Arabidopsis thaliana: one gene and its partners. The protein of the gene in region 4 interacts with the protein of the main gene of each other region in a pairwise test. Each region holds a gene or a part of one and is shown on either strand. Other genes may lie near its edges.

What was found.
Region 1: the proteins of AT2G41705 (region 4) and AT3G46280 interact in a protein complementation assay, tested with the Arabidopsis thaliana proteins (one large-scale study listed by BioGRID).
Region 2: the proteins of AT2G41705 (region 4) and AT1G27190 interact in a protein complementation assay, tested with the Arabidopsis thaliana proteins (one large-scale study listed by BioGRID).
Region 3: the proteins of AT2G41705 (region 4) and AT4G35080 interact in a protein complementation assay, tested with the Arabidopsis thaliana proteins (one large-scale study listed by BioGRID).

The regions. Positions count from the first base shown.
Region 1 is NC_003074.8:17,002,888-17,011,531, forward strand, and holds AT3G46280 (kinase-like protein), read right to left. Parts: upstream 5,642-8,644; 5' UTR 5,524-5,641; coding exon 5,454-5,523; intron 5,352-5,453; coding exon 4,817-5,351; intron 4,484-4,816; coding exon 3,975-4,483; intron 3,720-3,974; coding exon 3,681-3,719; intron 3,140-3,680; coding exon 2,972-3,139; intron 2,880-2,971; coding exon 2,785-2,879; 3' UTR 2,536-2,784; downstream 1-2,535. Other genes in the region: AT3G46270 (receptor protein kinase-like protein), read right to left, coding at 1-333, 1,266-1,374.
Region 2 is NC_003070.9:9,444,962-9,452,728, forward strand, and holds AT1G27190 (Leucine-rich repeat protein kinase family protein), read right to left. Parts: upstream 4,086-7,767; 5' UTR 3,768-4,085; coding exon 1,962-3,767; 3' UTR 1,636-1,961; downstream 1-1,635. Other genes in the region: AT1G27180 (disease resistance protein (TIR-NBS-LRR class)), read left to right, coding at 1-228, 309-857; AT1G27200 (glycosyltransferase family protein (DUF23)), read right to left, coding at 4,851-6,578.
Region 3 is NC_003075.7:16,694,951-16,702,448, reverse strand, and holds AT4G35080 (high-affinity nickel-transport family protein), read right to left. Parts: upstream 4,116-7,498; 5' UTR 4,066-4,115; coding exon 3,760-4,065; intron 3,594-3,759; coding exon 3,522-3,593; intron 3,229-3,521; coding exon 2,437-3,228; 3' UTR 2,128-2,436; downstream 1-2,127. Other genes in the region: CAT2 (catalase 2), read left to right, coding at 38-814, 897-986, 1,088-1,155, 1,245-1,338, 1,453-1,512; AT4G35070 (SBP (S-ribonuclease binding protein) family protein), read right to left, coding at 7,062-7,498. UniProt on the Arabidopsis thaliana protein: Together with CGF2, essential protein which supports female gametogenesis and embryogenesis, probably by securing local energy supply.
Region 4 is NC_003071.7:17,393,327-17,401,637, reverse strand, and holds AT2G41705 (camphor resistance CrcB family protein), read right to left. Parts: upstream 4,369-8,311; 5' UTR 4,128-4,368; exon of another isoform or gene 3,599-4,127; 5' UTR 3,556-3,598; coding exon 3,178-3,555; intron 3,083-3,177; coding exon 2,999-3,082; intron 2,904-2,998; coding exon 2,805-2,903; intron 2,723-2,804; coding exon 2,530-2,722; intron 2,443-2,529; coding exon 2,030-2,442; intron 1,947-2,029; coding exon 1,728-1,946; 3' UTR 1,557-1,727; downstream 1-1,556. Other genes in the region: AT2G41710 (Integrase-type DNA-binding superfamily protein), read left to right, coding at 52-102, 449-510, 594-1,378; ABCA1 (ATP-binding cassette A1), read left to right, coding at 5,528-5,614, 5,775-5,854, 5,958-6,126, 6,225-6,307, 6,678-6,894, 7,220-7,428, 7,521-7,581, 7,692-7,778 and 1 more.

The DNA of each region.
Region 1 (8,644 bases), on a different chromosome or scaffold from region 4:
TGTCCTCGTCGTCGAGTAACGACTCAGTAATATCAACAGAATCACGGTGTTTCCCGTCATAAACTATGTCGAAAGATGGCGGCGAGAACTTGTCATCGTAGTTCTCGTAGTAGTACTTCGTCCTCACGAGGGTTTTCCTGCCTTTTGTCACCGGAATATTGGTGTAGCAGTTTGTTTGACCGGTTGGAAAATACCGGAGAGTATTGATCGGCTTTGTGGTGACGTCCGTAATATTAATGGATTCGCCGGTGGTGACGAAACCCTTATCTCCGACCCATGTTACGTTGTTGGAGTCCACGTAGGATCCCGTTGTTCCACAGTCAATGCTTATACCTAACGATAGTGGAGGAAATAAAAACTGATCAGTAACTTAAAAATTAGATTGATATATGGATACATATATATAACATTGGGAGGTTTTTAAAAATTATAATAATCTATATATCAGATATTTATAGTTTAGGTTTCAACAAAACAACCAAAAGAAGAACAATAAAAACTGATTTAAAAATGATTTTATATGGATATTTTGTTATTATCGAAAAAATCTGAAAAAAACTAAACTGAAACCAAACCTAATCTTTAACTAGACTGCCCATCCCTAAATCAAACTACAGTGATCAAACAAAACAATTAAACACAGCGGGAAGGAGATTTTAGACACTTTTGTGGTCTATATTCATTTCCTTCTTCACATATTGTAGTAACACCCTTTTCGATGTTTAGATGATTTTAGCAAGGACAATTCTCAAAATACCACATTTAAGTTTTTGTTTTTTAAAATACCACTTAAATATAAGTTTTTAGTAATACCATTGAATGTTTTAGGTTTCAAAAGTACAACAAAACTAAAATTTAACTTTCAAGATTCAAAACTAATCCTTGAAGCCTAAACTAAGCATGCCACTTCGAATTAACCAAACCGAACCAATCAGATATTTTGGTTATTATATCGGTTAATTGCATTTTAAAATTCTTCCGAAATTAATTTCTATGGTTAGTGTAAAAAAAATCAAACTAAACCGAAATTAACCATAAATTATTTTGCGTTCTAAATCACAATTTTATGAAACTAATAGTAGTAGTTATTGCAACAAAACTTACAAGTATGGTATTTTAAAGAATTTATCTTTTACCAATGGCTTTCAAGTTTCAACTACATATGTCGTCAACCCATAAGGGTTGATTCCATTATGTTCATTGTAGTAAGACGATGATCATGAATGCCAAAGGGATATACAACTATATCTAACAAAAATATTTACCTTTTTGATCCTGAGCTTGAACAAGGTGAACAATAGCCAAAGTTGATATAAATGCGAGTAACAAAACCCCATGGGGACTCTCCATATCCCCACTGTGTATAGACATCATGTATTTTTTCTTGATTTAAAGCAGAACTTGCATTGACATTATAAGAGAAGACTTTTCAGAGTAAAGCCTGAAAATTACGTGAGATCATGACTAATTAGTAGGATACAAAGAGAAATTCAATGATTAAATACGTATCTGGTGGGCAATAGGATATATTATTTTTGGGTTATACGTCATATTATATTCAAGTTAGGTAGTTTATCAAAGTAGTATCATATAAACCTAGTAGAATGAAATTTATTAATTTAAGCCTAAGAGAAATATTCCGTTCATATACTGTCAATTGGAAATTAATAATTTTCTTATCAGTTAAACTGGAACTTAATAATATCGTATCATATCATTTCATCAATATTATATGTAAAATTTGGTGTTGGCTTTTGACATTGATATACATGTCGTACACAATTTTGGTGTTGGCATTTTGTCACCGGAATGTTGGTGTAGCAATTGGTTTGACCGGTTGGAAAGTACCGGAGAGTATTGATCGATTTTCTTACGACGTCCGTAATATTAATGGACTAGCCGGTGGCGACGAAGCCATTATCTCCGACCCATGTTACGTTGTTGGAGTCCACGTAAAGATCCCGTTGATCCACAGTCAATGATTATACCTAATGAAGTAATGATAGTGGGAAATTAATAACCGATCAGTAATTTAAAAGGAAGATTAATTATGATAACACGAAGATTAGTGGATGGAGAGATTTGCATTTGTTAATTTACTTTAGCATGTGCAACCGAAGATAGTTATAGTGTTTGCCCCAACAAATGACTATAAGATCATTCACATTTGTAGTTATACTTTTCTAAAGTAACTTTCAACATAAAGACCATGATGGTTAATTACACGAATTTTTCTGACTATATCAAGAAATTATTGATCTTGATAATTACAATATTATTGGATCGAAGACTATGATAATTAACGAGTTCATGTAACTTGTAGCACTCTTCCAAAACTAAAAATTTGGATAAGATTTTATATCAGTTGATTCTTCTTTTTTTTTTCTTGTGGGTAGTGTAAAAGAAAAGAGCTATATTGTTTTTTTTTGTAGGAAGAAAACAGCGAGTTTCGAATCAATATCAATCTCTATAATGTCTCCTATCATGTACTATTCTAATATTCTCTTGTAAATAATTAGAATTAGGTCCATCTTGTGTATATAATATATACGTCTGATGTCTACTGAAGACTATATCAGAGCAATAACATATTTTCCAATTCTAAATTTACTGTCACATTATCATGCATCACGTTTTCAAATTATTCTTTCCACTCTTGGTCGGATACAGATAGAAATACAATAGAACTTTTTTACAAACTAAAAGAATCATAAATGTTTGGAAAGAAAAAAACATGAAGAATAATAACACATGGATTGAGCTCTTCAATAACTAGTGTCCATGTCAATGATGTCCATCTTCAACAACATATGAATCAGTCATATCGCTGGCAAATTGCTGTCCAACTAGAGGCGACATCCCTGTGCCTGTTCCATGCTCTTGAAAAATAAATTCAAATTATTACGTACTTGTCATTTATATTCGAATAATTAACATATAGTAATTTATATTTCAATTAACTTAACCATACCTGTGGACGTATTTGGTACAGTACTGTTCGACTGTGACTTAGCATTTTGACGCTTTTTCCAAATAGCTGCAAACGCTGACGCGAGAACTGCAAAGGCGGAGGCGAACGTAACGCCAAGAATGAGTGGTAATTTGTTATTCTTCTTCCCTCCACTGCTTTTTGCCCCACCTAAAGTCGTCATATAAAGGCGTCACGACATGCACAAAAGAAAAACTTTTCTAAACCTTATCTAAAATTTGAAAATTAATTGAGATATATCTAAATTTAGTAATTTATTAAATGTGCTGAGATAAAGTGGCAAAGAATGATCCAATCAAATGATTAAATTTCATATCCTCACTGTTAAATTTTTATGTATATGAACTTAAAAAAAAAAAAAAAAAATCAGTATAATCTCTGCTAGAAAATAATAGATACCATTTACTAAAATAAATTAACAGAAAATATATATATTTAATAATGTATATAAATAAATAGTGTTGTTAAAGAGTACTAAATATCTATGTTATCCATGTAGGTTAGATATATATCCAATATCTTTAGACTTTAGATACATAGTGTACCATTTTTTATTTTCCGAAAATTCTATTTGGTGAGATAATTTTCAATTTGTGATAACTAAAAATCATTAAAAAAAAATTAAAAAACACCAAAGTTAAATAACTTAATAACAATAAAGAGAAATGTATATAGAGATTTGAGTAAAAACCTTTTCCCAAATTTTTTGCTTGTTTCGCTCCTCCAGAACCTTCATTCATTACATTATAAAATGAAAATAATTAGTATCATCCAAAGCATTTCATACTTTAGATTTAATCAAGTTGATTTTTTCTTTCTTTGCATTGAGATCATTCCTTCCTAATTATTGTCCACTAAAATCAACATCAATTTTTCATGTTCGAGTTTGGTTATTTATTTATAACTTGACAAATTATCGTTATTTAATTACTTGAATTAACTATTTATAGTTTTTATGTATTGGTCCAATAATAAATTAACTAACCTTCCGAATCATCCGTACTACCGCCGCCTTGGTCTCCACCGCCGCCTCCACTGTCTGGACTGGTATTACTTATCGAGTACAGCTCCAATCCGTTGATGAGGGGTGGCAAAACGGAGTCATCCGTTGACTGAAAGACTATCTGGGACGCCGATGTGGCCACTACATCTCTCAAAATGAATTGAGTTGCTTTCCCAAAAACCGGTACGATGGGACGCGAACCCACTTGAGTGTTGTCCAAGAAAACGTTGAACGATCGTCTCTGGGTTCGACCTAGACTTTGAGGCTCTGAGAAGTAAAGAACCAAGTATACTGGTACTCCGGTTAGGGGTAGAGTCTGGTCTGAGAGTACTAAGCCGACTCCTGATAATGCCTTTGACATAACAATCTCTGGTGGCTTGTTCGACGCCCCGGTGATGTCTATTGATGGGGCTGAGGTCGTTAGATCGGTCAGTGTGGAGTCTTGGGATCCTAACGCTAACCATACCCTACCGTAGGGGTCTAACGGGTAGCTAAATATATATCAAGAAACCAACAATATGAAAATATATTAATTACGCAATAATATCACATTGAAAGAAAGTTGTCCTTTCTAATTGATACAATTCTATAAATGCAAATTGACGTTATACAAGCTTTTATATTTGAATTAATAAATCTTGTCTAGACGTATAGGGTTAAAACTACATGCCTAATGAAATATTAGCAATGGATTGCAGATAATTTAAAGCTTTAAAGAAAATTAAAGTCAACGAAAAGACATCATATAAAACTTTTAATACTATGATTATTAGATGCATATATTGATTAAAAAATTCTAGTAAAAGCTTTGTGTATCAGTATACCTTATAAGCTCTTTGGCACCGTATGCAATTCTGTCGTGGAGAATGAGACCTTCGTTAGGACCAAGATCGTCGTACATGCCAGTGTCCAAACTATAAACTTCAATGGACGATATAAATGGGTTGTCGGACGGAGACGTACGTAAGAGACAGACGCTGATATTCTTATTCTCCGGAACATATATCACCTCCGAGAAATAGAACGTTTCTTCATCATTTAGCAACGACTCGGTAATTACAATAGAATCACGGTGTTTCCCGTCATAAATCACATCAAAAGATGGCGGCGAGAACTTCGCGTCGTAGTTCTCATAGTAAAACTTCGTCCTCACGAGGGTTTTCTGGCCTTTTGTCACCGGAATGTTGGTGTAGCAGTTGGTTTGACCAGTTGGGAAGTACCGGAGAGTGTTGATTGGCTTTTTGACAACGTCCGGAATCTTCATGGGCTCGCCGTTGGTGACGAAGCCTTTATCTCCGACCCATGTTACATTGTTGGAGTCCACGTAAGATCCGGTTGATCCACAGTCGATGCTTATACCTAACGATAGGCCAAACCAAATAAAAAAAAACGTTTAGTAGACTTAAAATAAAATTTCATTGGGTCATCAAATTAAGAAAAATATTAATGTTTGTAACGTACTTTCTCCTAATGTAACGGTTAGGGCTGAGAGAGAGAAGAGAGTGATGACATAAAGAAGCGCCTCCATCATCAACGAGCTAAATTTAACTTACTTACATGCACACATACGTAATATATAGAAGCAAAAAAGAAAAACAAAATACGCAATAGATAGATGATATAATTAAAGTATATGTTCATATTGTTGACTTGACTTATTGAGATTGCACAGCTCATATAATATTTAGTTGACTTGACTTATTGAGATTCCACAGCTCATATTATATGCATCAGCGTGCATATATCTCGATTTTGGTTTTAGATCATTGTTAATTTCAACAGATTAACCAACTAATCCGTCACATTTAATTGGTTATATATAACAAATTGTTCCCGACCTAATGCTAGCTACGTGAATCTAAAATATTTTGTGAGTACGTACGTATGCCATGTTAGCCTAGTTTATGTAGTAATTTAATAATCAGTTTAGACAATTGTGAATTCATTAAATATAAATATATGAAAATATACGGCACTCATGGATATAGATCCTACTATATGAGTCTAAATCACATCTACCTATCTTTCCTTTTTAGTGGTGTTTACCGTGATTCAATAATTATTGTGTTAAAAATTACTAAAAAAAATATACCTTGTTAAAATATATTCATGCATAAGAATATCATTATAAAAATTCATTGATAAAATAAGTGAAAAATACCTTATATACACAATTACACATTATGTCAGCTTTGTTGTTTGATGTTATATTTCTAAATATTATTGGCCAATTAATATCTTCTAATTAAAATGGTCGATTATTTGAAGGGAACTTGATTATTTAAGAAGAAGAATTGGCACTTGATAGGTTTGTCCAACTCATCATTTGGTTGACTTAGCATAAAGTTGACATATCGAAGTCAATGGCTTTGTTTGTATTCTTATATAGCACATAGACTTTAGAGTAAACGGCTCACGTTCATCCTCTTTTATTTTATAGGTACATTGTATTAGTATAACATACACATGTGTATATTTTAATGAAGTAAACAAAAAAATTCAACATAGTGCGAACAAAGTGGTTGAATAATTTCATGTGTTCCGCCGATCTCTTCGTATGATCAACGTCAGTATTATTCATAGGTTGGAACTGGTGTAGGGCTCAATTGTAAAATTTAAAAATAAACGAGAGGAAGCAAGTGGGATCCAAAGGATGTCTCTCATCCTAATAATCTATCTTTGACATTTGGCCGGCCTCTTGTTAATGCAGAACCAGTTTGTGTTTAAGAATCCGAACTATCTGTTTTATCCACACCAAATGAGACCAGTCCACACGAGGTCTTGTGTTTCTAATATAATGCCAAATTGCACTAGCCTTCTTCGTACTAGTGTTTTACGGTTGATTTTCCAGTGAATATTCATCGTTGGTTAGGTAGTTGTTGCAACAAAACCGGCCAGCCAATTTTCAGTGACTTGAGATTTTGGCTGACTATCATAACGTACGTTGAAATGTATTTTTGATTGTGGTATTTTTGAATTCCTAGCATACCCGGCCCATTATGTTTGTACGTATAGATTTCTCTAGGAATACCAATCGTTTGTCAACGCATGAGTATAGGAAAATTCAGTCAACTATTGATTATTGCATATGATGTTTGTTATATGATGATTGAAAGATCTGACGAGGATGATGGAAGATGAAAGATGCCAAATTTATCATTTAAATTGGAAACAACAAAATTTATATAGCTATATATGTGATAACACAGTTTTTTTCTTGGGATAGTATTCACAAGAAAATTTCACAACGACAAATATTTTGATATTTTGAATAACTTTCCAGGTCGCCCGCGACTAGGCTGATCCATGTTGATGATGATCAACCTGATGAACAACATAAGAATCATTTACGCCAATTTTGTTTGGTCCGCGACTAGGCTGGTCCCTTGTTCGAAACTTAAAACCAAATTAAGTTAGTAGATGCACTTGTTAATGGGCTTCATTTTTGGTTTTGCTTTAGGCAGCTAAATATAACGAGTCGGCCCTGCCTGACTGACTAGGTCAATTGCTCGAATTAAATTTTACAGATTAAAAACAAATATTTTAGGAAGGGTACAAGTGATTTCTAAATTGGATGAGATTTGATTATTTAGGAAGAACAATTCACACTTGAGTTTGTTCCAACTTATTTGATTGAGTGAATTTGATCTAACTTTTTTTGGGGTTGACTCCATGTGGAATGGACATTTTTTAGAGTTAACTGTTTTTGTGTTTGTTATGGGCCCATTTATAGGAATTTGAGAGTAAACGGCTCACGTTTGTTCATTTTGTTTTTGTCTTTTTGACATCACATTCGTCCAAATTTTCAATTGATACGTTAATATATGTCTGTACCATACCAATATAGTCATGATTCATGTATATTCAACGATGTGTGGTTGGAAATTCCATTTGTTCAGCCGATTTGCCCGCAAATCAGCAAAGTCCTAATCATAGGTTGAAATTAGTGTAGGGTTCGGAGGTCGACTAAGAGATACAAAGCTTATGTATTATTGATAGAATGTTTTTCTCAAGTTTTCTTCCTTGTTCTATGATTATTTCTATTAATAATTTTTTCAAGAAAGAGTAACCATGATAAGTGATTTCATGATAGAACCATTTTTTGGCCTTTGATATCGGTGAATTATTCATATAATCTCAACCAAGAGTTTGTAATATTGTTAAGGGGTGAAATTGGGCTTCGCCAATTTCGGCCCAACCCAGTGACTAAAACCCGGGCAGATTCGGCAGGAAAGAATTCGCCTAACTAGTTTAACACCCGACCCGCAAAGATAAACGTTTGGCTGCGCAAAATTTATTTTTGGAAAATCACGTTGTGTGCCTTACAATACGGACGAGTATAAATAAAGAATGGAAAGTTTTGGGAAGGACAACTTTTTGGCACTTGGAGAAAGAACAAGGCAAGTCAACTCGTCAATCGGCAAGTCAGCTCGTCAATCGACAAGTCAGCCCGTCAAGACAGATTAAGCGATCGCGCTCCCAGCTCGTAATTCCTCTTCGCTGAACGCCTCAGCTCGTCAAAATCATCCAAATCCCTCAGTCACGTCATCTCGTTTCGCTTCTCACTTTTCAGCCCGTCGTCATTCAACTTCAAGCCCAGCTCGCGGTTTAGAGACGGATTCTTCACCTTCCCTAGAGATTCACTCGTACTT
Region 2 (7,767 bases), on a different chromosome or scaffold from region 4:
CTTCCCCCTCTTCCATGTAAACTGGAGCAGCTAAACCTAGCAAACTGTTTCTCATTGGAGAGTGTATCCGACCTTTCAGAGTTAACGATCTTGACGGATCTCAATCTCACAAACTGTGCGAAAGTGGTTGATATTCCAGGCCTAGAGCACTTGACGGCTCTGAAAAGATTATACATGACCGGATGTAACTCCAACTACTCCCTTGCAGTAAAGAAAAGACTTTCCAAGGTGATTCCAAAAACTCCACAGAATCTCATCATGGCCTATTTAAAAAACTTTCTTACACCACTTTTGATTTGTTACTGCAGGCTTCTTTGAAGATGATGCGGAATCTGAGCTTGCCTGGAAACAGGGTCCCGGACTGGTTCTCGCAAGGCCCTGTCACATTCTCAGCTCAACCGAACAGAGAGCTCAGAGGTGTAATCATTGCTGTTGTTGTGGCTCTTAATGATGAAACCGAAGATGACGACTATCAGCTGCCTGATGTGATGGAGGTTCAAGCCCAAATTCATAAACTTGATCATCACAAATGCACCAACACATTGCATCTCTCCGGAGTGCCTAGAACAAATAACGATCAGCTTCACATCTGCCGATACTCAGCTTTTCACCCACTGGTTACGATGTTGAAAGACGGGTACACCATACAGGTGATCAAACGAAACCCACCAATCAAACAAGGCGTTGAGCTAAAGATGCATGGCATTCATCTCGTTTACGAGGGGGATGATGATTTGGAAGGCAGAGAAAATACATTACCCGAGGCTCAACAAACCGTTTCTCAGAAACTTGCCAATTTTTTCAGCTCGTTTGAAGAAGGTGAAGCCAGCGCAAAAGGTGATTCCACTGTTGCATGATCTGCTACCACAGAGAAGTTAAGAAACTGCACAAAAACATTCTTTCCATACAAGCTGTTTGTTGATCATATAGCGTGTGTGCTTCTGTAAGTTTTTTCTTTCTAGGATGTTTAGTTGTTTTTTTACAGTTTATACCGTTGCTTCTATAATCAATAAAAACCCAAAAAGAGGAGACTCTTGTTTCCCACAATTCTGTGCAATTTTGTAGAATGTTCACAAAATTTGTGAAGACTTGGTTAACAAATCCAAAGACTTCTATGATCAAGGTATTTTATCTGCTAAAGACCTAAAGTGTGTTTGTTCTATTTCTCATTCTCCAACAAGTTTTCATATATTTACTGTTTCCATTGTAGCAGATGAAGCTTTACATAAAACCGAGAGTCCAAGTGTCCTGCTCGATACAATAAGTGTATGCTGAATTGACATTTAAGTCACTCGATACAAAAAATGACTTTCACAACTTGTAACAGTAGTAACAAAGAAGAAAGTAACAAATTGTGAAAGGAAATGTTGACAAGACGATAGCAAGCATTATTGAGAAGTGGGGTCGAAGTTCATGTGTCTATGGCCAAGCGAGACGCAGACATCTCTACATCTGCCTCCAACATATCGGTTTCTTTTAACTCTATTGTCTTTATTATAAGACCAAACCCCACATCTCATCCAAAAGATATCACAACACACCAAATTACGCATTGACCTTTTTGACTATCAAAGACATTACTTCAAAAGATAAAATCAACAGACAAATAAACATTCTTCAAATGATTCAACTCCAAGGCATAGAGCCGTTACGAACCTAAGAAATTAAACCAAATGCCAAACTATAGGAGAGCTTGAAATAAGACTGAAATCTTCTCATTTCATCAGAAGAGGTTACATTCCAAAGAGTACATTAATGACCCAAACGAATGTACAGAATTATACGGTAGGAGATACAAGACAAACACGAGCACTGACACGGTTAAAAACTAACAACACTGAGGGAAGGAACAAAGAATGAGATATAAAGTAAAAAAAAAAAAGCTTCTGATACAAAAGTAGATTTCTCATACCTTCTTAGCGCTTAAGCTGCCAAAAAAGACTACTTTCTGGTAAAGATACTCAAGCTTCTTGTTTGTTGAAGACCAGAGGAAATTCATCGTAATGCTCCGAAACACCGTGTTTATCTGCCATGTTCTTCAAAGATTCATACACCTGAATCATCGTTGGCCTTTCCTTAGGCCTGGACACAACACAGCTACATGCGATTTTCAGGAACTGCAATATCTCCTCATCGTGTCCTTTATCACATATGCTTCTATCAATAGCGTCTTTGCTTCTACCAGTACCCAAATACTGACTCACCCAGTCAACTAAACTCCCTTTAAACCCTTCCACACCGTTAATAACAGACAAAGGCTTTTGCCCTGTAACCAATTCAAGAAGCACAATCCCAAACCCATACACATCTCCTTTCAAAGACGCAACCATGGTGCTCGAATACTCAGGCGCTACATAACCTAACTCCCCCAAATCCCCATTATTGAACGAGCTATCGTTCGAATCACGAGATCCAACTAGCTTTGCCAATCCGTAATCTGTTATCCGAGCATCAAAATCATCATCAAGAAGTATAACATTGGAGCTAATAAACTGATGCAAATACGGCGGTTGGCATCCATGATGCAACCAAGCTAACCCTTTAGCAGCTCCCACACCAATCGCACGCCGAGTCGGCCAATCCAAAACAGCATCACACAATCCACCATTGTGCAACTGAGAAAACAACGTACCATTAACCATATGCTTATACACCAACAGTCTCTCATCTTCCACAACACAATACCCTAAAAGCGGCACCAAATTCGGATGTCTAAGCTCTCCTAACTTATTCATCTCCGACCTAAACTGTTTCTCACCAAACCCACAAGCACTAAGCCTCTTCACCGCAAGTGCAGACCCATCAGGTAAATCCGCTTTATACGAAACCCCAGTCCTCGACGAAACATCGATATTCCCTGAACTAAAATTGTTCGTAGCAGCCATTAAATCACCCAATTTAATCTTCACAATAGGTTTCTGAAACAAAGTCACCTGAACAAGCTTATGTGACCTCAACAAACCAATCCAATCACTATCATCCTTAGACTTCCCAGCACCATAACCTTTCTTCTTCCTACTACCTTCTCTAATAAAGAACCACCAGAATATAACTAAACCAACGCACAAAGATCCAACAGCTCCAAGAACTCCAGCAACTATAATAATACTCAGATTTCTCCCATTCAACGCTCCACATCGCGATAAAGGCTTCCCACAAAGTCCGTTATTCCCGCTAAAATCGTCTCCTCCGAACCGAGCCAGCTCGGACGGAATCGTACCGGAGAGATCATTCCCTGCTAGAGAAAGACGTCGAAGGCGATCTAATCGACTCAACTGAGAAGGAATCGAACCAGAAAGCTTATTATCACTCAGAATCAAAGCGTTTAAGAACTTACACTCAACGATCTGAGTCGGAATCGAACCACCAAGCTTATTCCCAGACAGATCTAACGTAACGAGATAAGGAAGCCACGAACAGATTTGAGAAGGAATCGAACCAGAGAGATCGTTTCCAGAGAGATCCAGAGATTGTAAACTACGACAAAGCTTAAGAGACTCAGGAATCTCACCGGCGAGCTGCATCGATTGAAGCTGAAGAGAAATAATCCGATTCTCTTTCTCGTTCCAGCAGGAAACACCAGTGAGCTTACAAATCGAAGAAGCTGAAGAGTTTGGGAAAGACCAGGAACTGAGTCTAGAAGAAGGATCGATGAGTGAGTTTTTCAAACCTTGGAGACAGAGAACGTCGTCTTCAGCTGAAGAAGAAGAACAGAGAAACGAGCTTATGAAGAGAAGCCATAAGAGTGTGATGAAGATCTTCTTCATGATTAAGGATGGATCTAGTTCTTCTTCTTAGGTTAAAAAGCAGAGAGAGCTTCTATGGCGGAAGAAGAATGGTCATTGACTGTGTGATACTGTTGAGAAAAGATGAGAAACTTTTTTTTTTTGTTGCTCTTTTGACTCTTTTTTTTTTTTAGTAACTTAGTGGAAATTAGTATTTATCTTTTGTTTGGGGAAAAAGAATCTTCTTACAAAACGACACCGTTGGAAAAGCAAGTCTGAGAGAAGCAGAGGATATATACAAGTCAGTCTAGTCTACTACTACATGTTACAATTGAAAGGGAAAGCTAATTTTTCAAAAAGGATAACACTTTTGGGTGAAGATTTTTTTTTCATTTCTTGTATTGATAGGTTTGCCTAAAATCAGACATGGAATTTTAGAACCATGATTCTTTAACTCTAACGTATCAATTTAATCAAAATTAAATTCTTCCTCTATTGATATTGATATAATGTGACTTAAATGGGATTCTTTTTGTATGAAAGGTTGGTTGGCTGGTAATAAACTAATAATAATAAGTCACAAGAGTTTTGAACTTGTTATAAAGAAAAAGACAAAAATATTTTATTTTTTTAAAACAGAAGACATTATTACTAGAACTGAGGAAACAAAAAAAGACATTACTTGAACAAAAATGTGTTTTGGCCCATGGGCTTTCACAGCATTAACTTACATTTCAGCTCATGGGTTTCATGACTTTAGGCCCATAATCTTCATTGCCTCGAGACCAACCGTTTGTAATATTTAAACATTTCATCTGAGATTCTAACTCGAAACCTAAGTACTACTACTACAAATTTCGTTCTTGAAATCTTTCACTTCCATTCATATAAGAACAAGAAAGAAAAACAAAAAAAAAGGGATTTAGCAGTGTTACCGAAATTTACATGTGGTAAACTCTAAGAAACAAAAGATATTATAAGCCAACTTTATCCCCCACCAATCAACAAAACCAAAAAAAAAATGTAAGTAACAAAAGAAAGAAATATTGATGTAGATTTTGTATGTATCCTTGTCAAATGTAAATAAAATGTACACCTGCTGCTGAATCAGAAACCAACTAAAAGTCATTCTTGTTGTTGCCTCTGCCACGGCAGATAACCAGTCACTTGATCAGCAAAATTCGACATAACCAAATCCTTCAATCCAGTGTCCCACACTTCACAGAACCGTCGTTTCCAATCCGGCGGCTCGATTGCCTCTGTCCCGAGCCCTGGAGCTCGATCTTTAGACCCTTGATTCTGATTCTCTTGCCAGTCAACAACATAAGTAGCCACTCTTCTGTAAAACTTAGCTTTGAAAGTGTCCCAAACTTGGTACTTGTAATGGTTCACTACCGCAACACTCTCCACCAAACTCATATGCCCCACTCCTTCTTTCAACTGAAAATGATGTACTTCATTGAGCAATGAGCTTGTGAGCAACTCAGGGCGGATTATCGACTTGTGTCTCTCGGGGTTCGCTTGTCTACAAGTGTAACCTACGGTCACGCCTTGTGATGGAACCGAGGTCAGACCGGATGGACCGTAGCTATGACAGTCCGTTCTGATCTCTCCAACCAAATCCCAAGAAGTGTAGTTCGATACAAGCGACTTCAAAGCGTTTTTGCTCGGTAAGCCTTGAGAGCGATGCGTAGGGAAGTAGTAGAACTCGTCGACATCGAAGAATCCAACCCAATTGCATTCTTCTTTCGCTCTAACCGCACAATGCGAAAAACCGGCTTCTTGAGTCTTGATCCAAGGCCAAACATGTCGACTCACATTGTAATTCTCCGAACTAAGCAACTCAATCTCCTCTTGTATACCATCATCGCTGTTGTTATCATATATAAACCAACGTTCGACACCGAGCCACGAGTGATACATGATCCATTCACGCAAGAACGGAGCTTGGTTCCATAACATTGTACAAACACAAAGCTCATGCTTAACTCCACTCTTCTTCTCCTTCTTCTCAATCGAATCAGAACCGTAGATTCTCGCAACCGAAGGCAGAGCAGGGGTAGTTCTTCCTCTAGGATCAATGTGAATTACACTCACTCGAAACATCATCTCTGGATTTAGCTTCAAACTCTCAGGCAAACCACACCTCACAACTTCTTGCGCAGCAGCAATAGCTTGAGTCACCTCTTTCTCCTCCGAATTCTCAATCTCAAATTGACACTTATAGTAAGAAGGATCTGATTCCTTGTGAGGTCTTCGAGTCAATCCTTTAACAAACACAACCACCGTGTCGCCGTCAATCACCGCCTCATAACCAACCTTTTCCCAATTATGAACACGACGGCTCTGTTTCTTCATCTTCTTCTTCACCAAATCTCCACGGAATTGCAAATCAACAGATGAAGAATAGTTCAAAGGAGCATTAGGACATCGAACAATCGACCTAAACTCATCGAATTCATCACTAGAAATCGAGGGCAACACCAAAGTCTCTTCCTTTACTCCACGATAAACACAAACTAGGTTTTTTTCACCTTTCCCAATTCCGTGCGAAAGAATCAGCAATAAATGGTCAGGGAATTGAACTCTGTCTTCAACACTCAACGGAGGGAATCTACCACGGTGAAACGAATCCATGGATGATGATAAAACGGAGAGAGTAGGAACACGAAGAGACGGTCTCAGAGAATCGGAACGAACAGAGAGTGTGGAGATTCGGTCGGAAGATAAGAAGAAGAGCAAGACGAAGAAACAACAAAAGCATAAGATTAGATACCTTTGAGACAAGAACTGTACTTTTACTTGTTGTTTGTTTCGTACTTTCCTCTTCTTCCCATTCTCATACTCCGTCATCTTCAAGAAAAATTGAAACTTTTTTCTTCTTCTGGTTTGTTAGAAACAGAGCAAAAGGGTGGTTGCTTAATAAACTGATCTAGAGAAGGTTTTTACTCGTGAAGAAGAGATCTGGTTTTTGCGCCGGCCGACAAAAGTACCTTCTTCTTGTTCCTTTTCTTTAAGAGAGATTAAAGAAAGGAAATATATAAAGGAATTTAATTTGTGAAATATTGTTTGATTTTGATTTGTTAAGAAAAAGGAAATAATCGTTGTGATAAAGAAGGAAAGAAACAAGGAAGACGCGTTTTTTCTTTACGAGTCGTTCTCGTAATCTTGTAAGCCACCGAAGATTAGTAGCACTAATCATTGTCTTACTTTTGGCTTAATTAAAAGTGTGATTAATTAAGGAGATTAAAGTGATTTTTATATGGCTTTTATGTTTTGTTTTGGTTTTAATAATTAAGACGAGAAGAGGCCACTAGTTTTGCGACTTGTGTCAAAAGATGCGACGATGAGGTGGACCATATTCTCGTCTTTTGTTTTTTCATTTTTAATGTTTTGGGATTGAAGAAAAAGGAGGACCGATGATCCCGTGACAGTTGTGTTGCGTTGCGTGGTCTTTTAGTCTTACGGCAAATAATAATTGTTTTTCAAGATTCGCCGGAGGATGAGGAGGAGAACCAAACTTGTTGGTACTAAGCATGATTGGATTATTGTAACTTGTGAGTAGTTAAGGCTGCTTATGTGTGTAGCAAAACGATTCGTCGGTATAGAATAAGTATGGTTGATTAGTTTAATTTGGTTGTATAAAAGAATTATCAAAGCGTTGAATGATGACATCAAAGATGAAATGAATCGAACCTAGTTATATATTTAGATAGAACTGTTTATATCTATATAGTATTCTTTAAAGAATTGTTATAGGAAATGACCATCTTGCATAGTTCAATATTGGTCAAACAAAATCTTGTGAACATGTTTTGTCACTAACAAGCATGTTCAACTAGTTAATATTATTTTCCTTTTGAATGGTTTAGTTATCTAACGTAAACAGATTTGTTATATTAGTAATCTTTAGCTCTTAAATTGATGATATGATCAGCATCTTACAATTAGTTCGTCCGTCGTATTACAATGTAGGTCTTGATGAATGTGACGCTGAAGGCGATTTGTTCTTCATCCATATTGCGTTGCCGACCTCAAAGGT
Region 3 (7,498 bases), on a different chromosome or scaffold from region 4:
CTTATATACTAAGCAAATGATCATTCTTTGTATGCAGGGGAACTTTGATCTTGTTGGAAACAACTTTCCTGTTTTCTTCATCCGCGATGGGATGAAGTTCCCTGACATGGTCCACGCTCTTAAGCCGAACCCAAAATCTCACATCCAAGAGAACTGGAGAATCCTTGACTTCTTCTCCCACCACCCTGAAAGTTTGAACATGTTCACTTTCCTCTTCGATGATATCGGTATCCCACAAGATTACAGGCACATGGATGGTTCAGGTGTCAATACATACATGTTGATCAACAAAGCTGGCAAAGCTCACTACGTGAAGTTCCATTGGAAACCAACTTGTGGAGTCAAGTCTCTTTTGGAAGAAGATGCAATTCGTGTTGGAGGAACCAACCACAGTCATGCGACTCAAGACTTGTATGACTCTATAGCTGCTGGAAACTACCCTGAATGGAAGCTCTTTATCCAAATCATTGATCCTGCTGATGAAGACAAGTTCGACTTTGACCCGCTCGATGTGACCAAGACCTGGCCTGAGGATATCTTGCCTCTTCAACCTGTTGGACGTATGGTGTTGAACAAGAACATTGACAACTTCTTTGCAGAGAATGAGCAACTTGCTTTCTGTCCTGCAATTATTGTCCCAGGGATACATTACTCAGATGATAAGCTGCTTCAAACCCGTGTCTTCTCCTATGCCGATACTCAGAGACACCGTCTTGGACCAAACTACCTTCAGCTGCCAGTCAATGCTCCAAAATGTGCTCACCACAACAACCACCATGAGGGATTCATGAATTTCATGCACAGGGACGAGGAGGTACTTAATAGTACACTATCAATATCTTTATATCGAACTTGAAGCTAGAATACCATAGTCTTACAAGAAGCTGTTGTTACAGGTTAACTACTTCCCGTCGAGGTATGACCAGGTTCGTCATGCTGAGAAGTATCCAACTCCGCCTGCTGTCTGTTCTGGAAAACGTGAGAGGGTCAGTAATCAACTCTGTTTTCCTCTCTGTTTCTGTTTCCCATGGATTGGTTCACTTAAGAACATATGATCTAAAAGTTTCGAAATCTGTTTTTTTTTCAGTGCATTATTGAGAAAGAGAACAACTTCAAGGAGCCTGGAGAGAGATACCGTACCTTTACACCAGAGAGGTACTAATTGTTTTATTTTTGTAATGATGCTTAATGCATAAAAGGAACATCTGTGTTCTTAACGTTTTACGGTATGTTTTCAACTTCAGGCAAGAACGATTCATCCAGAGATGGATTGATGCCCTATCCGACCCACGCATCACGCATGAAATCCGCAGTATCTGGATCTCTTACTGGTCTCAGGTCTGAAATCTTGATCTCTGTTACTGTCATTGTCTCGTTCTTCAAGTCTCAGCAGTTGAAAAGTTGTCAAGTTTTAAACATTTTTGACTGATTGGTTAAAAATGTGTGAAACAGGCTGATAAGTCTTTGGGACAGAAGCTGGCAAGCCGTCTGAACGTGAGACCAAGCATCTAAAACGAGTGAAAGAATTCTTGATTGGCCTTTCTGTGGTTGTTAATTAGCAGAGAAAAGAAAATGGGAAGAGATCAAAGTTGCGATAATACAATCTTCATCATGTGGATCTTCTGTGCTATGTTATAATAGTATCTGTTTAAAGACCAAAAGAACCTTGTGTGTTGTTGTGTCTCTCGTTTATCAGAATAATACATTATACATTGAAGATTTATAATCCGTGGTGTTACTTGATGAAAGCTCCTTCTTCCTTGAAAGATTGTGACATATTCTTATATATTTCTCATATATTAACGAATGTAATCCCGTAAGAGCTGTCGACAAAGACGTGATTTTTAGTCTGCATGTTCTGGACGAAAGGGAATAGCAAAGTATGAAACGAAAAAGACAAGAAAATCCATAAATTCTTATGTGTGGGTATTAGGGAATTTACAATAGTTGTCAATATGTGTTGTAACAGTGGCCACATTTGTGTATAACGTCGTTGTATCAAGTGTGGGGTGTCGAGAGTCTTTAGATTTGGTGTGAATAATCTGACAATTTGGATTTGAACTCTGCTTTGACATCCTGACATTAGAAAATAAACTTGGTTTTGACATTTTGGGGTTTGTATTTGTGACAAGTACTGTTCAAATGATATAAACAAGAATGACTTTTTAGTTAAAATTTGATAATATTACAAAGTATGGTTACATGCAGTTGATCGATAATTCAGAACCAAAACCAAACTTCTCTTAAAAATAAGGAAAATAAAAAGAATCACCAAATGGTTTTCTCCGAGAGGAGTTTCTGAAGCAAGATTACGAGATTTTGTTCGTACAGGTGACAATAATACGAGTGATATGGACCCAAAAAAACCTCTCTTTCTTCTATAAGAACTACAAAGATTTCAACTTGTCTCATTTACCTGAAGAAGCTTTTACTTTCTCAGTAGAGGCTAAAACCAAAGAAAGGGCTGATGACAATTCCCAATCCAAGACCAATAGCCACAAGTGACGAAACCCAAGTTAGTTTCTCTGTGATCCTTGGAACTTTCTCTTTCAAAGCCTCACTGCAAGACCCAATAAACGCTGTGTAACTTCCCATCGCTATAACTGTCCCAACCAGAAACATTATCAAAAACGCAGACCCTGCTAACCGTGATGGGAGAGCTAATGCAGGCAAAACAATCATCAGAGCATCCGGTTGCAACCCGTGAACCACTCCAGTTGCAAATGTAGCAAACCCGATCTTCTTCTTTTTGGGCAGTGGTAAGGCTTCTTTCTCTGTTGATACCATGCTGATGTCGGTTTCTAAAGCGACACAAGGTTCTGGAATCTCAGAAGCTTCCTTGATTCCCATAGCACCGATAATAACAAGAGTCAATCCCACAATTCTTGTACCCCAAGTTTGTAATACTTCAATGTGAAGCCGGTCTTTAAGTAGCAGAAACAGTAAACCAAAGATGACTTGACCAGCATCATGCCCACATCCCCAGAGAGCTCCAACAGCAGCACTTTCCATTTTGCTGCGTCCGATCGAAAGCGGAGCTAAAGCAGCGAGGTGATCAGGTCCTGAGAGCGTGTGCAAGCAACCAGCAAGGAAACCGGTCCACGCACTTGTTAGCCAACCGGATTTAGCTGCAGTTTGAAAGCTAGCGAAAGCAGGTGGTGCAAGAAGCGGGTTAAGCAAAAGCACAGCTACTGCAGAGATTAGTATAACGGTTCCAGTAGATAACGTCTGCAAAGAAACACAGATATATATTGATCTGGTAAACATCCATGAGACTACATAAGAGGACAGCGAACAAGCACAATTCCAACACACAGACTAATCAAACAAAAAAGAAACTAGATTGATTTGAGTTCTATTGTTCCAACAAGTGTGGAGCTTGAAATTAGGGACTATCAATATCTAACATGAAAAAGCAAGTTCAATGTCAACAATATCGAATTAGCTCCCGAATCCTAAAACAGAGAGAACATGATTCCATGATTCTAGAGACTGATGGATAGTAACATATGTAACCCTACAAAATTGGAACTTTTTGTAATTCTTGGAATCTTCTTCTCGAGCAAACTATATACAAACTTTTCATATGTTTCCTGAATAAAATCAAACCCCATTAAAACCCATAAACCCCAAATCTAATGTAAGCCAAGCTCGTCCCCAAAACTATACGAAAATGTGGAAATTGAAACATTTAGTAAGCATCGACGTAAGCATCCAGAGATTTCTAATTACCACTGAACAAAACGTGAAATTGAATACCTTTCGCTGCTCAGAAGCCGACGTCGCGATCCGTGTGAGAAATCCGGGATTAGGTTTCGATTCATCCGATTTGGGAGACCCATTGAAGGAATTGTTAGTTGTGTTAGATCCTATAGGCGTATACAGTGACGGAATCTGGGAACTGTTGCAGGAAATTGAGCTGACTCGGCGTGACTCGGGCCGGTGAGTCGAGACAAAGCTCAGACCCGATGAGCGGAGACGGGGAAGGAAAGGAGAAGTCCGTGAAGGGAATTTGGAAGGAGAAATTGAGGAAGAAGAAGAAGATGGTTGAAGAAGCCTTTCCATGGCGTCTCCTTCTCTCTCGGCGAGGCAATGAGTCTCGAAACTGAGATAGAAGAGAGTACGTGCGATGCTCTGTTTAAAGGATATACGATTTTTGAAAAAAAGGAATTTTTATATAAATAAGAATAATAATAATACTGTTAACGAATTAATATTTCTGTTTTTTTTTTTTATCTACTATATTTCAAAATTGAAATCACAGTGAAAAAATTAAGATAAATCTTTAAATTATTGCACTATACCACCTTAAAAATTGTTGAGTTTTACTATTAAATAAAAATGCTTAATTTCGATTTTTCAAGGGTTTAGGTAAAAGTTGGATTCGACAACTGCGTATAAAAAGCCGACTTGCCTAATATTCTTACGTTAATTAGCAATGAGACAAAAGATGTGAACTTTTAAAACATGCCATAGTTAGATCGAGCTTTTAATAAAAGACGTATGTTTATCCTATGATCGAACGTATAAAAGTAAACTCCAAAAACCATGTTATAGCCTAATCCATCAAATGTATAAAATATGCATAATAGTTGGTCAGGCCAATATGTGAAATACATGAGGATGTTTGTTGGAAAATGTCAAAATTTTCGCCTACCAAAAGGAAAAGTAAAGCACATAAATATGGAATCCACGACGCATCCACTTTCTTTCTCTTCCTTGCTATTATTTCCTCATCTGCTTATAAACTTTACCTACCTCAATTCCTAATTCCTAATTGCCCAATTTACAATCTCGATATCGAAATTTGTTTTTTAATATGGTGCAGTAAGTTAATAATAATCGAAATGTTTTATGAGATTACAAATGCATCTACGTGGCTTGATATGAAATACGTAAGCAAAAAACTCTTAAACATAACATTTTGGAGTTATTGCAAAACAATCCCAATAATTTGTATCTTCCCAAGATATCCTCATTTCTTTCGCATAAAATATGGAAAACTACGAATGCGACCAGTGGTGCACATGTAATAAGTTTAAAAATTATTATCCTTTTAAGAAGCAAAACAAACAACATGTGTATAAAGAAGAGTTCAACAACTAAATACCTCTACCATCTACAAATCAAACGAAGGTTAAAACAAAAACGATAATCGAATTAAATTACATAGTTAAAGTTGTTAAAATATCATGATATTGATATCCCTAATCGAGACATGGTATTGAATTTTGATATTGACATCTTGTGATTAAAAATCCAATAATCTTCAGTTCATAACAAAAAAAAAATCCTTTGTCGAATCATAGTAACATATAAAAAAAATATTGAAGTCGTTTGTTACTTTGTTGATTCCGTCTCTATTCGTCCATTAGCAAATTGAGTAATGATGATGTTTATGTACTTTTAATACCTGACGTATTAGTTCCAAACTTCACGTCGTGTTAAATAAAATTAGTTGGCAATCCAGTGAGTCCCACTTTCAATTTGGGCCGAGCACTTGGGGGGTAAAATGGGCCGGGCCATGTGTTTATACGTAATCCACATAATTAATTACCCACTTCGGAAATCAAAACCTATAGCAACATTAGGCGGTTTGGGTTTGCAATTTCTAGCTTTTCAACAAAGAGTCTAAAATCACTAAGGTCTTAAGGCTAATTGGGTCTTGAAGACTCAAAGCCGTAAATAAACACACACTGACACACAAAATCTCTACTAGTAGAGCTATATGACACGAAACACCCTACAATGCTAATCACCTCATCCATAGCACATAGGACTGACTGTTTATTTGTGTTTACGTTAAAAGTTTAAATCATTCTATACATAGAGATAATAATGTTTGCGTAAAAAAGTTTGTAATACTAATAGATGAAATAAATCCTATGAACAAGACAATAATCTTAAATTGTCCCAAATGAAACTTAAATAAGATTTAATTAATCTTTATGCGTTGCCTTTTTCACTATTTTCTACAATCTTGTTTATTGATAGTAGTACGATCTAATTACATAATAAGGTTATACTTATTGTTTATTTATAGGTATTAGGGAGTATCTAGAAAACCTAGGTAGCACAGATCTGTCGAAACAGAGATCGAGAATCCTTAATGAAGGAAGAAGAAAGGCCCAAGTGTTCAATGAAACATGTTTCTGTTTAGGAAAGTGCGAGAACTCAAATCCTATGGCAGGCCAAACTCTGATTCTCTTTCAATTTCTATTTTTTTAATGTGGAATTATTACTTACTATTGTGCTCTCATGTCACTGTACTATATTGATTGTTGAGCAACCCAATAATACTTACAGCTTCCTCCAATACGCGTGTCTACGGCCTCTACTACCACCTCTTTTCACCATCTTCCTACATCAAAACAAACCCATTAATATATAATGCTTCCTTTCTTTTTTTTTACTTTTTCATTGCTTTCTTTTTTTTGTTCAAAAGAATATAACTTTTTTTGTTTTGCTTTCTATGTAAATTAAAAGACATATGTTTAAATTTGATTTAATTGATTTTTTTATAAATGAAATTTTTTAAAAGATATGTTTAAATTGGATTTCATATTAGTTTAGAATTATTATTCTTTCGGTCAAAAGTTTCTAGTTTTTTGCTTATTAGGAAGTGTTTAATATAGGAAAATCTTATACATATAATCATTAGGAAAATGTATATTAAGATATTTAATACTAATGTGTTTAAAAATCCTAAGAAGTTAATTATCATTGAAATAGAAAGAATGGCATTCAAACTTTATATCCGAAAATTCATTAGATAGAAGGAAAATATGAATTATGTTCATCAAATCCAGCTGGGTTCCTTTTTTTTCTCCATTGAATGGAAAAAGAACCAAAAAACAAAAAGGGAAAATGAAAACCCTAATCAGAATTTACTTCTTGAGATAACCTTTTACTATTTCTAACCTTTCCCTATTCTCACTTTCCTTTCCTCCCCTATTTTTACCAAATTACCCTGCCACGTCATCTACCCGGAGTAAAAACTCTCCGTTCACCGGAACACAAAGGCAAGCATTTTTCCGGTGAGAGAAAAGAAAGGATTTTCCCTAGAAAATGAGGGCCTCGATTCTGCTTTTCTTGGGGGTATTACAGATCGGACAAAGAAGAAGCCCTTCCTCGCAATCCATGCAGCAACAGAGATGCCTACACGGCAGAAACAGAACTCTCGTTACTCCGTTAGACCCACAATTGCAGCAACAACTACTCATCTTCATCTTCTTCGCCGGCAAACTATTCCCGTCTCCTTCTCCGCCGCAAAACGACCCTTCGTCCTCCACCTCTGCCTCACCAGCGTCGTAACACGTGGCGGCTCTCTCGCGAACCTGTTCGAGCGTTGTGTTAAGCGTTTGCACAATTGCTTCGTTCTCACGAGCCATTCTCTGCCACGTCTGATTCTCCATTTCCATTTTTCTCAACAGATCTTCGAGTTCCATGTTCTTGTTCAATGCTTTCGACATTTCTTCTTCCTTCTGACTCATCAAAA
Region 4 (8,311 bases):
TTCTTTTAAGAACCATTTATTGCTGATACTCTTTAGATATCCCTTTGGCAGAAAAAGCAGCGGTTTCTCTAGGGGAATAGCGAAATATCGTGGACTTCAAAGGTAAAACTGGACCAGCAATTGAGTTCTCATTTCTCTGTTTTGTCTGAAAAACTATGGAATCAAGAGTGATCATCTTTGTGTAATTGCCTATAAGGAAGATTCTTTAGTGACACATTGTGGATCATCACGGTTTTGATTAATTGACATATGGTGGATATGCTACTAGTTAATTTCATAGAAAAGTCTATATGCTACTCTTAAGAATAGGGATATGGCAAAACTATCTTCACTGTTTTGGCTGTAGCCCTCTTTAGTTTTGTCTTTTTAACCTTCTTTCTCACAATTAACATTCATACCTGATATGCATTTCTGCTGTCTTTCCATCTATTCTGCACTTCCCGACCAGCCGATGGGACGCATCAGCCAGTCGTATGCCTGGACCTGAATACTTCAGTAACATTCATTACGGTGAGTTGCTAACAATATTGACCTAATTGAAACAAATGTTTGCTTGCATCAGACTATTCAAAACTCATTGTCATTATTAACAGGGGCAGGTGATGATCGTGGAACAGAAGGTGACTTTCTAGGTAGCTTTTGTCTGGAAAGAAAGATTGATCTAACAGGATACATAAAGTGGTGGGGAGCCAACAAGAACCGTCAACCAGAATCTTCATCAAAAGCATCAGAGGATGCAAACGTCGAAGATGCTGGTACTGAGCTTAAAACACTGGAACACACATCCCATGCAACAGAACCATACAAGGCGCCAAACCTTGGCGTCCTTTGTGGAACTCAGAGAAAAGAAAAAGAAATATCATCACCATCAAGCTCTTCTGCTTTAAGCATCTTGTCTCAGTCGCCTGCCTTCAAGAGCCTAGAGGAGAAAGTGTTGAAGATCCAAGAAAGCTGCAATAATGAAAACGATGAGAATGCAAACCGTAACATCATCAATATGGAGAAGAATAACGGCAAGGCAATAGAGAAACCAGTTGTGAGTCATGGAGTTGCTTTAGGCGGTGCTGCTGCTTTGTCTCTTCAGAAAAGCATGTACCCACTTACCTCTCTCTTAACGGCTCCATTGCTCACCAACTACAATACATTGGATCCTCTTGCAGACCCTATTCTCTGGACACCATTTCTTCCTTCAGGATCCTCTCTTACTTCAGAGGTTCGTAGTCATATATCTATAGAACCAGAGACTTCAGAGGTTACTACAACACATCTTCCTTATGTCATTTTCTTTGGCTCTCTTTCTTCTGCAGGTGACAAAGACAGAGACCAGCTGTTCCACGTACAGCTACCTCCCACAAGAGAAATGAGCCGTTCCCTTTAGACTTTATGTATGTCAGATTCTCCTTTTTTGAGATGAATTCGTCGACTTGACATCTCTTTGTCTCTTTTATGGAGAAAAAGTTGGGAAAAGTGTGACAATGGTCTGAAGCAGGAATGTACAGGTTTTGTTAGTGGTTGTGTTTTTTTTTTTCCAGTGTGGAATATAGAATCATGATATTTTGTGTAAAACAGAAAAAAGTTATCATTATAGTATAGAAGTTTGCTCTTAATATTTCTGCACAAGGTATAATATAATTTGATTGTGACCGATCTAATTATTCATCTCTACCAAATGTTACGACTATGTATTATCACATCATCTGCACAAGACTTATCTAGCTTTGATACAACTAACTGAATCCTATTACCCAGACAGGGACTGAGTATATAATAGTTCCAATCGCAAAAGAAACCACAATGGTAAAAGATGCATACGCATAGGCTCTCCATGGGTAATCACTTTCTCTCATCGCATTGAACTCAGCCATGAAGGTCGAAACTGTGCTCAGACATCCCAACAGACCAAACTGTATGCTCGAAGCAACCGTGTTACATGTTCTCGTGTTCACCTGTTTCCCAAAATATATACAATGAATGTTATCTTTTGTGATTTGATCTGTTTGGTAGAGAGAGGAGGTGAGGAAGTTTATACCGATTTCTTCAAGGTAGCCAATGCTGCCATAACGCAAGCTGCAACTACATTTGCAATGAGGGTGCCAAATGGGACCCATCTCAAATTTTGACTATCCTTTCCCAGCCCACGTCCATTGAGTCGGGCTAAGAACCATCTGAGCCAGACACCAGGGGCTGCAACTAAGCAACCAAACCATAGCTGAGCCTCGCTTGTTCCTTTGTCAAACTCTTTCACAAGCAGTATGGAACTGGCAGTGAGTAAAGCCACAAGCAACAGAAGCATCAGGGTCAGAGACACAATATGGCTCTGGAAGGTGTTAACCTTAAGACAATGGAATTTATCCTCAGAAGAAGCTCTTCTATGAAGAAGCCATTTAAACCCTTTGGCCGTTTCCACTCCCAGAATTATGGAGTATGACGTGAGAAACAATCCTGTAAAGTCGTTTATGCTGTAAGCAAGTATGTTTCATCCAATTTAGTAGGTGATTGGAGATTGAGAAGGGAATTTTTTGTTTTTACCTAATAAAAAGCCAAGCACAGCATACACCCATTGACCATCAGCACTAAGATCCAGCATTTTCTGGTTCCAACCGCTGAATGTTGTCAGACTCCCCAAATAACCAGTCGATAATCCTATCGCCACAAATTCAGAAACTCTTGCTATATCTGCTTTGAATACAACGCCAAACCAACCCATCAAGAATGATCCTACCTATAAGGAAGCATTTGGAGAATTTTTATTAAGAAAGATAGGTTTGTAATTAAGTTTGAGATGAGTGCATTGCGACTTTCACCATGTTGGAGGGAAGATCAAGGTACAAGATGCTCCCATCACTTGTTACTCGAGCACCAGTTGGCCCAAACAATTTTTGCAGCAAATATCTCGTAATGGCCTGTATATTTGGAGTCAACGAGTTGATTATAATGATTTAAACAAAAACAAAGCACAACAGAGAGACAGACAGAAAATGGAAAATAAGCATTTTACCCCAAAAATCCCAAAAACAGCCAAATGAATTAGGCATGATATGTACTCCAAGGACTTTGGTAACACTCGCTCTTCCTCCTTTCCCTGTGCAACCCACGAGCTACAATAGATCAAAACATTGGACAAAGAAACCAATACTAACAATGATGTGACTATGCAAAGTTAGAGGTAGTCTCTACGGAGTTGTTTATTTCAGGTGACAAGAGTGACTTGGTCGGTAAAGGAGATGCTGTTATGTCCTCAGGCAAAGTTTTATTTACGGAAGCAGTGTTGAAAGCTCGAAGGTCATGTAATATATCTTGTTCTTGACGAGAAGTATCATGAGTCCCTTGTTCTATAAAATCATCAGCAGACAAACGGCTGCTTCTACCAGCACTATGCCTTCTCCGAAGTGAGCGGTCCCCAATATCCCCTGCCTCTGAGACACTCTCACTATCGACGTCATTGTCAATTAGGTGAGGCAAACTACGTGATAAGCTTAAAGAAGAGGCTACACTGCTCTCCCGACTAAAAGACTTGGCTTGATAAGGTTCTATGCTGCTTTGACCCGTATCCATAGGCGTTGTAGCCAAAGCATAAGATTCTTAAATGATGCTCCACCTGCACATATTTTAAGCCACAGCCACACACACAAGAAAGAAGACATGAAGGAATGTGCAAAAAGAGACAAGAGATAATCGAACAATGTGGCAAGTAAACATTCGAGAAATTCCTAATGCTTATTAAAGACACTGTTTGAAAAGTTTAGCTGTAATCTTCAAAACCATAGCTTTTTGATACTAAGACAACAAATTCAAAAAAGTTCACATATTCATGATAGATTATGACTTTAGTTTATTACTTTCTACAGAAGCAGAATAAGAATGACCTGGTGAAGGGATCCAAAAACAGTTTTCAAGATTTTGTCCTCCACTATCCCTTAAAACAAAAGATAAAAATTTACTTGCGTTTTAGTTAGTGGAAATCGAAAAAAAGGTAGACTAAAATAATCACTTGTTCACCAATAGAGAAAAAAACGAAAATCTTAAAAAGTTGTACAGGTGGCAAAGACGAATGAATACTTTTCTTAGATTGGGACCTGTTTTGGGTTTGGATTTTGAGCTAGACATTTAAAATTCAGCAGCTTTACCTAATGGCGAATTCAATCTTAATCGTGAAGAATCAAATTTGATCCCAAAAGTCGCCGGCGGAGAAATCGAGCTAACAGGAGACAATCGAAAACCATCAATTTATTCTCTGGTTTATTGGATGTTAAGGGAAGTAGGTTCGATTGTAGAAGATGGACGAACAACAAAGCAGAAGACGATTGTAACTTTGTTTAGTCGAACACACATGTACAGACAAGTAGAGTTGGTTTAGTCGGGAAAATCGCACCCTAAAAAAAACAAAAACAATACATAAGTTTTAAAATATTTCTAAATTATGGGCCACAAAGAGCTGGCCCAGTAGCCCCGCTTCTCATAACAGATTTTTTTTGTCTCTGGCGGATAACAAAAATATCCTTGGAAACGACAGCCCAAACAAAATCATCTTTAACATATATTTAGATGTTACTTGAAATTTGATCATATATTTTGAAAAAATCCAGATAAATTATTAAAAGTTAATGGTATTAAAAAAAAAGTTTCATTGTTTTTAGTTGAAGAAAATAGTGTCATTTTGATTCTACATTTGATATAATTTTACTAAAAATTGTTTTTTTTCTGTGTTAAAAAAAAACAGCATTTTTGAGGATTGAATATGAAGGTGGATTTCTTTAAAGTTGTGTCACAACTGATAAAAATAAAAATAAGAATCAAGTTGGGGAGTGGCAATGAAAGGAATAATTCTAATGGCGGCTTTTATTGGCAACCTTCGGAAAAATAATAAAAACATTCGTATACTTTGCCGTCAAACTTAGGAACGTCGTCGTTTTCGTCGTAATATAATTGGCGTAACGCAACTCTAAAACGAATCAGGATGTTCCACGTACACTACACTAGGCTTTTAATGTGGAGCCCGTGAGAGAGCCACCCCTACTTGGCATTGACGCAAAGATTTATATTTGGGTCAACATCAGCAACTGTACTTAAGTACTTATATATATTAATTATAAGATTATCTTCTTCTTTTTTTTTGGTTTAATATAAGATTACCTTCTTAATATCACGACAACTAATCTAATCTTCTCCTTATTTTTTGGGTTTTTTGATAGAAGAAGAAAGGTCCCGTAAATAAATGAAACAGTTTCGGAATTCTTCTATTTTTGTCGACCACTTGTGTTATCCGCAGCTAGTTGCAAAATTCTTTTGTTTGATTGTATAATCAAATTGATTAATGAATCAAATAAATTGGCAGGAAAAAAAAAAAAAAAAAAAAGGAAGCACAAATGTCAGTGAGGTGAGCCCAAGTCTTCGCCACCTCTCTCTGCTTTCTTAGTTTGCTACTTTGCTTTGCCTTTTCCCAAAGAAGAACCATAAAAGTATGATTTCTTATTGAAGCCAAGACTAGAATCTATCGTCTAGGGTTCTTTCTGGGTTCCAAGGAAAAATGGGTTCATCGAAGAGGCAATTCAAGGCCATGCTCCGCAAGAATTGGCTCCTCAAAACTCGTCATCCCTTCGTTACTTCAGCTGAGGTTTCTCTCTTTTTCTTTGCTCCTCAAAACTATGTCGTTTTCATGCTTATTCACTGCTCGTCTTAATGGGTCTTCTTCTCCTTGATGCTGAATGCAATTTTTGTTTTTAAAATTTCGAATTGTTGATCAAATTTTGCTTCTTTCTCTTATTCATTGGCAGATTTTGCTTCCGACTATTGTAATGTTGCTGTTGATAGCCGTCAGGACACGGGTTGACACCACAATTCACCCGGCTCACTCGTAAGATATCAGTTTTTTACACTCGTCACTAGCCTCTCTCTCTCTCGTACTAAAATTGGATTTTGATTTCGTTTTCTGCATTTTGTTCTGTTGATCATGAAAGGAACATAGACAAAGATACAGTCGTCGAAGTGGGCAAAGGCAACTCTCCTAGTTTTCCAGAAGTTTTGAAGCTTTTGCTTGCTGAGGGGGATTTTTTAGCTTTTGCACCTGACACTGATGAAACTAATAACATGATCGACATTTTGTCTCTTAAGTTTCCGGAACTGCGGGTAATCATCATCACGTCTTCATCTTATGCTGCATTCTAGATCGATAGTTACTCTTCATATGTCACACGTTTAATCGACCCTGTGTCTTCTGTTTGCAGCTAGTTACTAAAATTTTTAAAGATGACATAGAGCTGGAAACTTATATAACATCTGCGCATTATGGTGTCTGTAGCGAAGTGAGGTATGTTTTGTTCTTTTTTCCAGCTAATAAGAAGGCAATTTCATCCCTAGTTTCTTGTCGCCTTCAAACTTTTTCTTGTACATCTCTCTGTTTATTCTGTGAATTGGTTAGCATTTCTTGAATAATGGCAGTATCTCCTTGGGTTAGTTGTTACAAATTTGCTACAACTTTGATGATTATACTACCTGAACAAGACTGGTATCTTTTCTATGTTGGAAACAGGGAGATATTTTGGCTTCACATGCCCAGTGTGTCTGCATTTTATCTTCACTAGTACTATCATCAAAGTTATAACTAGCTGTCTATGCTTTTTCGTTTTTTTTTTTTTTTTAAATGTTAAAACTGATTAAGCCTCATCATGTTTGCTTAGGAATTGTTCGAATCCAAAAATAAAAGGAGCAGTGGTATTCCATGAACAAGGACCTCATTTGTTTGATTATAGCATCCGCTTGAACCACACATGGGCATTCGCAGGATTCCCAAATGTCAAGTCGATCATGGACACAAATGGACCTTATATCAATGATCTCGAAATGGGGATTAATACCATACCAACAATGCAATACAGCTTTAGCGGATTCTTGACTGTATGGCCATTACTTATTTTCATTGAAAGTTTGTCTAATCTGTGCCCATGATTTTTCTATCATCTTTGTAGCTCTCCCCATAAAGCTACTAGGCAGTACAGTAGTCAGATAATTCTTGTCTGTAGACTATATAATCTATGCTATTATAGGGAAATATAGGATTAGTCAAAGAAATTCCAAATCAGGTGTTAGATTATCACACACTAAAGTAGTAGTTACCATTTAGTAAACTAAATCAGTTCATCTGATTTGAATAGAAATTCTTGAAGTAGGGGGTTTCATCTTGGTTTCGCCCAGTTTTGATTGGTCTTATACCCTTTTGCAGCTCCAGCAGGTGGTAGACTCTTTCATTATATTTGCTTCTCAGCAAAATAACGACTTGCCATTATCACATTCAAATCTTAGTTCAGCTCTACGCTTTGAGCTGCCATGGACACTGTTTAGCCCCTCAGTGATAAGAATGGTTCCATTTCCAACCCGTGAATACACTGATGATGAGTTTCAATCTATTGTCAAAAGCGTAATGGGATTGTTGTATGTATCACCTGCTCTATATTTTCTTTCCTTACATGTATGCATGGTATTTGAGTGTTTATGGTTTGGATGATTATATAATTGTTGAGCAGGTACCTTCTGGGATTTCTGTTTCCAATCTCCCGGCTTATCAGCTACTCTGTCTTTGAGAAGGTTGGTTTGGGTTTATGTATTTTGCTTACTTTGGAACACAGCTGATATGTATCTTTCGTTTACCAATAGTTGCTTTTCTATCACTTACGCTTTTTTTTCTGACCTTGCAGGAACAGAAAATAAGAGAAGGACTATACATGATGGGCTTGAAGGATGAGATCTTTCATTTGTCGTGGTTTATCACATATGCATTGCAGGCAAGTTTCTGCTTGAAATTTGACTTGTGAACTTTTGTTTGCCTCTCTTCCCGTGGCTATGGTAGCATTTTCTGTTGTCAACAATATTGACTTCAGCTGGAAGAAGCAGACGCTTTACTTCTTTTGATATATCTAATAACTTGTAGTTCTTGGTATATTTTGTCTTTTCTAACTAGACTTTGTTCTGCAGTTTGCATTGTGCTCTGGGATTATTACAGCTTGTACGATGGGAAGTCTCTTTAAGTATAGTGATAAGACCTTAGTCTTCACATACTTCTTTTTATTTGGGCTCAGCGCAATCATGCTCTCATTTATGATATCAACATTTTTTACTCGAGCAAAGACAGCTGTGGCAGTTGGGACCCTTACCTTTCTCGGAGCCTTTTTCCCTTACTACACTGTAAACGATGAATCTGTCTCCATGTATGTTTGTGCTTTTCACTTTTGTTATTTTTTTCGTGACGGCTGTTTTATGGATAGACAAAAGTTATGCTTATCTTTGGCACAACCATTTGGTCTAGAATACATTAATG